Linked DNA regions of Oryzias latipes. The protein of the gene in region 2 interacts with the protein of the main gene of each other region in a pairwise test. Links are inferred from orthologs where the notes say so. Each region holds a gene or a part of one and is shown on either strand. Other genes may lie near its edges.

The links.
Region 1: the proteins of agtrap (region 2) and coq8a interact in binary tests that used the Homo sapiens proteins (3 or more experiments, as listed by UniProt). The two-hybrid records come from large-scale screens. The link is inferred for Oryzias latipes from reciprocal best matches to the Homo sapiens genes AGTRAP and COQ8A.
Region 3: the proteins of agtrap (region 2) and mief1 interact in binary tests that used the Homo sapiens proteins (3 or more experiments, as listed by UniProt). The two-hybrid records come from large-scale screens. The link is inferred for Oryzias latipes from reciprocal best matches to the Homo sapiens genes AGTRAP and MIEF1.

Annotation. Positions count from the first base shown.
Region 1 is NC_019882.2:16,026,301-16,030,054, forward strand, and holds the start of coq8a (atypical kinase COQ8A, mitochondrial), read right to left. Parts: upstream 2,205-3,754; 5' UTR 1,818-2,204; intron 1-1,817. UniProt on the Homo sapiens protein: Atypical kinase involved in the biosynthesis of coenzyme Q, also named ubiquinone, an essential lipid-soluble electron transporter for aerobic cellular respiration.
Region 2 is NC_019863.2:32,256,288-32,259,500, forward strand, and holds the end of agtrap (type-1 angiotensin II receptor-associated protein), read right to left. Parts: intron 2,439-3,213; exon of another isoform or gene 2,296-2,438; intron 1,134-2,295; coding exon 1,006-1,133; 3' UTR 653-1,005; downstream 1-652. UniProt on the Homo sapiens protein: Appears to be a negative regulator of type-1 angiotensin II receptor-mediated signaling by regulating receptor internalization as well as mechanism of receptor desensitization such as phosphorylation.
Region 3 is NC_019866.2:18,852,462-18,856,115, reverse strand, and holds the end of mief1 (mitochondrial dynamics protein MID51), read left to right. Parts: intron 1-1,059; coding exon 1,060-1,331; intron 1,332-1,401; coding exon 1,402-2,220; 3' UTR 2,221-3,540; downstream 3,541-3,654. UniProt on the Homo sapiens protein: Mitochondrial outer membrane protein which regulates mitochondrial fission/fusion dynamics.

The DNA.
Region 1 (3,754 bases), on a different chromosome or scaffold from region 2:
ACAATCAATTTATTGTTAATTAATTATACAAGTATGTGCCTCTAGCACATTTTAATAAAAAGAAATTCAACCTAATTTTTTTTTTTCTGATCACTTATCAACAGATCTATATGTAAAGCTAAACAACAATAAAGGAAGTAATTGCTATTCAATTGTGGTCTTGTTTTTGTTTTTTTAGCAATTTCCTATTGATGGGTGGCTAGAAACCCCCTGTCTAATATAGAGGAGAACCGCAGGCACTTTTTGTTTATGTATTTATATAACTGCATTGTAACATGGTATTATTGTGGAACCCAGACTTCACAAACATACAGAGATCTAAGCCTCAGCTGTCATCTGCTGCACAGGCTGCTGTCACACTGCTATTATGGGAACAGCCATGCGGCTTTAGCCAGCGGCTGAAAGAAGTACACCTCATGGCTTCCTGACAGCGTAACATCACCAACCTTTACAGACTCGGAGCCAAATGTGGGAAACGTTTGCGGTAACTGTGGAGTGGTGAGCCACAGCAGCAGCAGCAGCAGCAGCAGAAGGAGAAGCGTCACCATCATCCATGCAGGAAATGTGAAGGAAATCACGTTCCCCAATGCACATGTGGTAACATACAAGAGTAACTCCCATCCAGATCTACACGTATTAAAAAAAAACACCTCTTTCCTCATGATACCGTTGATGGATTTGTTTTGTGTGTGAGTGTGCGTATATCTAGATATAAACACACACACACGCACATTAGGTATGCACAATAAATAGCAAATTTATCGTTATTGCAATATCAAGCTGGGCAATGTCCATATTGAAAAGGTTGGTGAAAATTGCAATAAATGGTTACCTTAAATGAGCTAAAACAATCTTATGACAGCTTTAAGCATTTAATGAATCAAATAAATCCCTTTATGCATTTGACCAATAAGATGGAGTCCTTTTATGCCCGTCTCCTATGTAGACTAAGGTCCTTAATAATAATAATAATAATAATAATAATAATAATAATAATAACAGTAATAACAATAATAATAACAACAATAACAATAATAATAATGATAATATAGTGATAATCACAGACACATTGGGCCTGCAGTCGGGTCTGGCAGCCAATGCATTTATAATAATAATAATTAGTTTTTCTTTTCTCACAGAAACACTAAAAAAAAAAAAAAAAAAAAAAATATCCAAAAAAAAAAAATTAAAAATAATAACAACACATAATGTCACAAAAATGTATTTAAAAAACACCCATAAGAATCACAATAAAATTACATTTTTTTAAAAAAAGTCTCAAAGAACATGTTGCACAGAATAAAACAGATAAGTCTACAAGAGAAGCTTATGGTGAATTAAATTAATGAGATAAATATGTGGACTATATAATTTTTTGATGAAAAAAAGAAAGAAAAAAAAGTACAACAAAAGGCCTTAATCATAAAACTAATTATTAAAAAAATCTATATTATCTTGTCAAAGCTTCAGCGGCTAGCCCCAAAGCTACACTTCTGCTTCATGCTAACGTAACGGAAGTAGCCCTTTCTAAACCCAAAATTAAATACTTTTTTGTCTCTTACGTCAACTCTAACCATTTTGGTATTTTTTCCCACGATGGCCACTCCATAAGTTTTGCACAAGTACAGCAGCCAGAGAATAGCCGCCATTAATGAGGCACGTCAGCACGCTGACTGACCACCAAGGGTTACTTTCTGCGTGGAACCAGTTGGAAATTAAAACGCTAGTTTCCCTTTGCACAGCAACCAGGTGGAAATAAAGACATCTATTTTGCATGTACAATAATAATAATGCATGCTTCGGTGCAAAGAACTCACCAGCAGCTATCGAAGGGTTTCTGCTGCTGCTGCTCTCCACTCCGAGGCTGTCGAACTTAGGCAGGACGATCCTGGCGACTCGAATCAAACGTACCCCTCGAGTTATATAACACAGATGCGAAGAGGGTAGTTGTTTTGCCGTGAAATGGCTCTTTAATAGCAGGAGTTGCAGGTCTGTGAGCAGTCCTTAGCCTGCAGCAGACGCTGCGGCTGGTAGACCTTAATCCAGTTTGTCTGACACCACGAGGTCAACCCCTTATTTACTAACTTTACGTAGCTGCCAGAGCCCTTTATTGACGCAACCTACTCCACCACCGAGATCCGGCAAACGATAAAGAAAAGGGAATAAAAATGATTCATTCATCTGAAGTATTTACCACATTTTGTAAATAGGTCCTTTCTGTTATTTTTTTAAAAAACAATAGCACCCTCTTTAGGACTGCAGAGAGGGAAAATCGTGTTGCAGATTGGTTCAACCGTAGTTCTAAACAGCTCTGGTTTGCTTCTCTGGGACGTTCTTCGTCTGTTTACAGGAGGAGCTAAACCCTCGGAGAGGCGGGGTCACGTTGCTTCACGAGATAAACAAAGCTTTTTAACGGACTCTCAAAAGCTGAAAGGGCTTTTCAGGAACTGCTCTTAAAATAAAGGCAATAACATTGGTGAGAGCAGGAATTATTTTAGACAAATAAACATAAAAATATATATATTTCATGACCTTGGCAGAGCTACAGTAAAAGCAAACGACCTTCTGCTGCCATCTGCTGGTGGAAGAGTGACAGTGCATGACGTTTGCCTTGTTTTTGTCTCTAGCCCGCCAGATCTCAGCGACGAGTGTTGCCCAAATCTTTCTGATGTGTGTGTCCATCTGGACATTTGTCAGTAAGTGAAGATCAGTTACCTTTTGGTAACTTGAGAAGAAACTGACAGCTAAAATAAAGGTGAAAAATAATTATGTTTGTATTGGTAATCCAATTCAAATTAAGCCTCTTAGGCTGCAATTATAAGAAAATTATAATCTACAGTTTTTAAAAGCAAACAGTTTTTACAATGTACATGTGTACAGCTTTCTGAGCTGGACAATGGTTTTAAAGCGTTTCTCTGCAGTTGAAGCTTATTGACAGTAGAGGGCGCAAAAGACCTCTACTGCCGCGTGTTTAGTCATGAATCAGGATGGTAACATATTCTACACTGACTTTACTTCTTTACAAAAGTAATTATGTTCTGTGTAAATAAATTGAGTGGTATAAATATATGTTAACAATAATTGCTTGGTGCTTTATTAATTTAAAGTAAATTGTTTGGCACAAAAACTCCTAATTAATCAGGTCTTCATTTCTACTACAAAAAAAACCCCAATACTTTTCTAGTAAGTCTACATGTGTTAAATGCAAGTGTTTGCATAAAAGAGGGGGATAGAATATTAAATGGTTCACATAAAGATCTCATTTTGACTTCTTCTTCTTCTGGCCAGAACTTCTCATGAATCACGTCCTTTCTCTTCAACCAGGTCCGGACACTGCTGCTCTTGTGGATAGGTGTGATTTGAATAACAAATAACCCTCATGCAAACATGGCAATTGTTGTGGAAAAGGAACAGAATCAGCATCACCAAGGGTCACCAAAGCCAGGATGAAAATCAATTTGACACACAACACATAAAGGTGGACAAGAACACCAAACACGAGCACAAGTATTTCACAAAATTCTTCTTTTTTTATAGGATCAATCCAAATAAATATACAGGCTAGCAAACCTTTAAAGAACTGTACATGCACATAGTTGAGCAGAAGATCTCATTAAGGTGGGTGATCTTAAAGGGTTAGTTAGCACATTGTATTTTTACATGACAAAGCAATGCGTTTCCCCGACACATTTGACCCTTTCTTCCAAAAGGCACAGCACAAAGCCGTAGTTTATCCTCATTAAATGTCACAGCA
Region 2 (3,213 bases):
GAGGAAAGAATACGCTGAAAAGTTTGATTGACAGGACATTTACAAAGAAGAAGCAGTTCATAAACCTTTAAACCTACAAACTGAATTCTACATCTGCCTTAAAAAAAAACTCTAAAAAGGTGAAGATAATTTACACTCAAATTTGGTTTAAAAAAGGCTAAAATATGATTTTTTTTAAAATGTCAAAAATGTTTTAAACCAACAGAATAATGAGAGCTGCAAACATCCTAAAAACTGCTAAATTCAAACTAGATCAAATCCTAAATGATCTTCATAAAGGTTTAAAGGTTACATTATCAAAAACCGCCGTCATGTCGGAGTTTTGGAAAGAGAGAAATGTCAAAAATGTAGTAAATAAAGAATATCTAAGCCAAATCATTTACTCAAAATATAAACATTTGTTTTGAAAAATAATAAAAGAAAGAAAAACCAAAACGAAAAGCAGGAATCTCCAGGTTTCACAGAATAAAAGCCGTAAATGTTGTCAAACGGCTCCATTGAGAAAAACGGATGAGTTATTCGCTGAGACGCTAAGCACGCTGGGAAATGGAGTGTTTCTGTGTTGGGATGTGCAGAGCGGCAGATGTGTTTGTGCAGCATCAACATTACTGAAGTGTTTCCGTTCTGGTCCAAGGATTCAAACCCCAAACGCTGAGTTTTCGGTCAAACATTTATTTCAGTTTGTTAAAGCAAAGAGTTTCTGCAAAATAGTCATAAAATACTGCAAAAAGGTACGACTATAACTCACAGAACTGTCTGTAACCGTCTGTAAATGCCACGTAAAAAATAATCTACTTGACAGCTTGACTGGAATCGCGTTGGTAACAGCAGACGAGCAGCAGGAGGTTCAGATTTCCTCCTGAAAACACGACATTCACTGGAAGATGAAGAGTTCACCCCAAGTATTTATTCACCAGAAGGATTTGTGGGGTTTTGCACACATTCGTCGCCCGTCGCTGCATATAAAGTCAGAGAGAAGGCTGCGCGGTTGGCGTCCGGCGGCGCTCAGTACGTGCGGACTCCTGGTCGGGTGGTGTCCTGGGCCTGGTTGAAGGGGTTTGGTGGGCTGGACGACTCGTCCTGCTGGTCGATGGACTGATAGGCTTCTCTGTTCCGTGATACCGAGGGAAAACCTGCAGGGAAGCAGCAACAAGGCAGCGAAAAGGCGTTATTTGGAAATATTACCCTCATTCAAACAATCTGGTCTTTGGACTCCGGCTTTTTGCTGAAATCTAGAAACATTTTTGCTAGAGTTTCATCATTTTTAATTCCACTTCCTCCCACAGACTTCTCTTTCTTTATTCTAGTATCTTTCTACAATTTTTCATCTATTTTAACCATTCAACTATTCAAATGTTCAGCTATTTCATCTTTTTCCAGCTGTGATTTTTGCTCCTTCAAATCCTTGAACTTTTCCAGATATTCCAGGATTTCTGCCTCCATTGAAATAAAGGGGAATCCTTGGAGCAGAAGCTCGCTGGTTCGATACCCGGCTCTGGCATTTTTCACAAATATTTTTTTGTTATTGTGCTGTTTTCACTTTATTTATGATCAACTTTGATCATTTATTTATTTACTCTTTTTTTGTTTTTTGACAAATGTTATTCTTTAAGTTTCATTTTCATTCAGCAGTATAGCATCAACCCTGCTGTTTCTTCTGGAAATGCAGCTCCTTCTAATAAACTCTGTTTTTGTGGCGGACGTTCCAGAGCTGCATGAACACCTGAGACTCTGCTCAGAATATGAATGCTGCATGTTTGAAGGGTTTCTGAGTCATTTATGCGCATGCAACTGCTTCCCATTAACTTTCAATTATGAGCCAACCTTATTTGGATTTTAATTAGGCTCATTTCAGAGTCGTACATACAAGGAAACCCAAAAACACACAACACACGAACACAAATGAGGCGTCTGGAGACCATCTCTGAATAAAATATCAGTAATACTTGCAGACATAAACACCAACAGAGAGCCTAAAACGGTAATGAGGACAGGTGAGAAGGGCCTCACGGAAACGAAATGTTGGTTTTGCTTCTTTAAACCACGTCGTGCTCCCGAATGAGCCGACGCCGCATGACGGCAGGACGGCCGTCTCAGCTCAGCAGCTCATTTAGTGCTGCAGCCCCCCTGGTGCCAACATGCAGTCCCAACACAGACTCTCTACAGAGGAGAACCTCTGTTGGTGCAGCTCAGCCAGAACATTCACAGAAGGGATGGATCAGAACTTCAACACGACAGAAGGGAAAGAAAAGCATCTTTCTCCCGTTTGTCCTGCAGTCTGATCACAAAGCTTACTTCCGGGCTGAAGCAGGACCGAAGAGGACGACCCGGGGAGGGAACTGATAGAAAGGGGGAAGCCGGCGATCAATAACGGCGGCCAAAAAAGGCACTGTCGGCACTGTCCGTAGTGCAGCGACTGTCCACTGAGGTCTCTAAATCTGAGGGTTCGAGGGAAAGCGGTGGAGGAGAAAGAACAGAAACAAACCATCAAAACGTGCAGAAACACAGGAAACAGCATGACAGCCAAACAAAGACATGGAAAACAGACGACAAGGCAAACGCAGGAGCCGCAGGAAAGCTCACCTGACAGGCAGAAGACGGACTTTTCACCACATTCTGACCAAACTAAGCTGCTGCGTTTGCATTGCTGTTGGCGTCTACAAAGGTCTCAGGTAGGGGTGTGACGATAACCTCATCACCGCGGTGATGACCTCATCACAGCACCTTTTTTTAATTTGAAAGTTTTTATTATTTTTTTTCTGAAAGTTCTGCATATGATGATTGGAACTATAATTAAACACGTTCATCTTTGCTGATAATTTACTTTTTCTAGTCCTGTGTTCAGACTTCAAGGGTTTCTGGGGGGAACCTTTCATTTCTGTTTTCCTTCACTCCCTCTACGCTGCACGCGCTCACTCTACTCACACACACACACACACACACACACACACACACACACATGAGGTTTCAGCAGCACACACATCCTCATTCTACAACAGAAATTTCCTTCTCGCGAGGAAATACGACAAATTTACTGCGTTCTAATCATTAATTTCCATTGTATTCATTTCCATTACAAGCTGGGTGCGTTCTTGAGTGCGCGACATAGACGCCCGCCGGAGGATTTTGTGTTGGGGGGGGGGGGTTGTTACTGTTCTCCTTCACTCTGTAACACCAAACATGAACGTGCACCGTTAGATTTCCATGAATATC
Region 3 (3,654 bases), on a different chromosome or scaffold from region 2:
CGGGGAGAACATGCAAACTCCAAACAGAAAGGTCCCCCATTGATGTTCTGTTTGAGGTCCCCCAGCCGGGACTTGGACCGGAGGCATTCTTGCTGTGAGGCAAGAGCGCTAACCACTACGCCACCGTGCAGCCACGTCATCCGCATATCATTACAAAATCCGAGTTCCTGATTGATTCAAGTTCAACACTCATTCAATGCACGCACGTTTTGTACAAAGAGCTCAAAAAAAAAAAAACTGTCTTAGAAACTTGCATAGCTACGTATGAAGGTATAGATTTGTCATTGGAAGTGATGGCTTGAATACGCGTTGCCGAGGGCGATCTGAACATAGCTTCACATAAGACTATGGAGCTTTTTCTCCTGCAAAAATGAGGGCTGCAGCTTATATATTTTTTTCATTGTTGGTTTTCTTTAAATTTTCAGTCAAATCATTAGATTTTAAAATAATAGTTTGTCATAACGACTGTAAATAGTTACACTGATTTTCAAAATGTATTTTTTTTAACGTTTTTTGTTGCATGAAGATAAAAAAAAAAAACCTTTTTAAAAAAAAAAATAAAACCAATTAAAATGCACCGTATTGACAATAGAGCAGATAGTCACAGCTGTTCTAACAGGACTGAGATTTGTATGTTTATTATGTGGTTATAAGAAATTTTTCATCAGTAAAATGAACAGTTGAAGCATCGTATTTTTCCATGAACGTACCTGACAGCCCAAAGGACGCTGCAAAAATGAGGCGTTGGGCTCAGCGGCTTCTTACACTCTTTAAAGTGATCTATAAACAAAGTTTGATCAGCAAAACATCCAATGGTGCAAATATGAAATGTCAAACTTTGACTTGTACTCCATTTTCTGTCAGATGTTAACTTTTTTTTGTTTCAGAGGTCATTATGGTTACTTTTTTAACCATAATGACTGTTTTAATCAGGACATTATATATTAAATAAATTTTAAGTGGAAAAAAAAACAGCTTCTAAAGCTTCAAGGCCAAAACCCCTGAGGAGTCACCTCAGGACGTTGCTGTTTTCCACCAAACTTGTGTTTGTGTCGTCAGACCGTTTGCGCAGAGCTGTGGGTCGCTCTGCAGTTGGAGGAAGTGGCGCCTGTCAGTCGGACCTGCAGCGAGCTCGCATGCGCCTGTCCCTGCAGGAGCGTCTGTGGGAGTTCTACCAAAAGCACGTCAACATCCCGGCAGAGGAGCAGACGGTAGCCAGGAGGGCGGCGCTGGACATCTGTGCGGAGCTGAGAGTGTTCCTTCACGCCAAGCTGCCCGACATGCCGCTCAGAGAGATGTACCTCAGTGGAAGCCTGTACGACGACCTCCAGGTCTGCACTCGCTTCACTTCTCCATCATTTCCCTCATTTGGTTGGGATTGAAACTTTATTGTCCTCTCAGGTGGTGACAGCGGACCACGCCCAGCTGATGGTGCCTCTCGTCTTGGAGAAGAATTTGTGGTCGTCTATCCCAGGAGAGGACACGATCATGAACGTCCCGGGTTTCTGGCTCGTCCGCAGGGAAAACCTGGAATATTTTCCGAGGAATAGCAGCTACTGGGACCGCTGCATGGTCGGAGGTTACCTCTCCCCTAAATCTGTCCTTGAAGTCTTTGATAAGCTCGTGGGCTCCATCAACTGGCCGGCTATAGGGAGTGTCCTGGACTACATCATCCGTCCCGTGGTTCCCTCTGAGACTTTGACCCTGGAGGTCCAGTACGAGACGGACCGGACTCTGTACGTGGACTTCCTGCCTTTGCTGGTGATGGGGGATGGAACCTCGCTAATTGCCAAACCACACCGGCTCGCTGCAGAGCGCCACGAAAACCTGTGGCGGCAGAGCTTCCGCGTGGCTGAGACGGCGCGCCTCCGGGCTCTGGATCAGGAGGACGGAGGCTGCCGCTCCACCTGCCTGAAAGTGGCAAAGGCCGTGTGCAAGCTCCACCCTGCCCTCCACCGGCTCAACTCCAGCCAGCTCACCAACGCCATCCTACTGCTGAGTGAGAAGGAGGGGGACTGGACCCAGGAAGCGCTAGCCGACCGCTTCCTTCAGCTCCTGCGGGCTCTAGTGGGACACCTAGAGGCTGGGAGGCTCCCCTGCGCCCTAAGCCCCAAAGTTAACTTGTTTTGTGAGCTAACTGAGCAGGAAGTAGACGAGCTGGGGTACACGCTGTACTGCGCTCTGTCCGAACCTGAGGGGCTGCTGAAAACGACGCAGTGAGAAAACCCATGCATGGAAACGCCCCCATTCCTTATGGAAAACCGCTGTCCTGATCCTGTGCAGCCACATGTTTAAGACCGTAACAGTGTTTTCACTCTGTGACACAAATGTTTTCATCCTATAGATGTGGGTGGGCATCCTTAAAGCCATTGTATTATCAAGTACAGAGGCGGGGCGCCAACTACTGGAAAAAGGTAGCTAGCAGGGGAAATTGGGTAAGGAGGATTTCTGGGTCAAAGTTCATGAAAAGGTTGAGAACTCCTGAAAGAAAGGAATCATCAGTGATCCACACACTGAAGGATTTCTGAAATCTTACTCGGTAATGCAGCTGCTGAGCTCACATCTGCTGCCTGCATTATTGAAACATAGAAAAAGGACGCACCTACAAATAAAGAGCAGCCCCATGCTGTGAGAGGTGGAGCCAACTGTGGAATGATGGGAAACGGTGCAGCACTTCATTGTGTTTTTTCACAACTGGTGTTGTACTCGTGGCATTTTTCCAGGAATTGACCATAGAAATGTGGAGTCATGCTGCTGGGTTTTTTGCTTTAATTTCCTCCTTGCTCTAAAGTTGTCTTCAGGAGGCGGAGTTTTCTCACTAAATGATTTTGACTCTGAAGTTTGAAGAGGCTTGAGCGCCAAGGAGCTCAGCTGTGATGGGTTTGTGCGTTAGTCTCATTAAGTTAAGCTGGAGTTTGCTCTCAGAATAGTACGGTGCACTCTGCACGTGAAACCCTGATCGGCTCATACCCAGCAGCCAGACGGGAACCAGGTACTGGTTATGTAACTACAGCTACTTCAGCCAAACTTTCTGTTCAGATTTCAACTCAGTCGAAAAGTCGTTTTTGTGAAAACGTCAAGAATGTCCTGGTTTCTTTTCCCATTTAGTGAAAATATTTACAAAAAAACATCCAGAGATAAAAATCCTCTAACTCCCAACTCAGTGGTCTGTATGGTTTCTGTGCAATTAGTCATCAATATGATGGAGAGGTAAATATTTTTCTATTTATTATGCATTTGTAACCAAAAAGATGCTATTTATTTTCACTGTACCTGTCCAGTGTAAGTGCTTTGTTCTGGCTGTACCAATATAACGCGATCATACAGAATATTTTGTCCTGTCAAACATCAGATCCTCCTGAGTGTCGGGGTAGCAGGGGTATCACTGTGCCACACGATGGAAAAGCAGCTGCTGGGACGGCAGACGGCCACACGCTGGGGTGCACGTCAGTCTGCCGTCAGTCCAGTCGCTTCTTTTTTCCTCTACAGGAAATTGCTTGAAAACTGGATCAGAGTTGAATAAACACATCAAATTACAAAGTGAGAAATGTTGACTTTTATTGTATTATGTGACAATTCCACCTGAAAAAAAAACCCCAACCTCAGATTTAAAAAAAATGCTTGAAATAATGAAGTAAGTGGTACAGAGGTTAA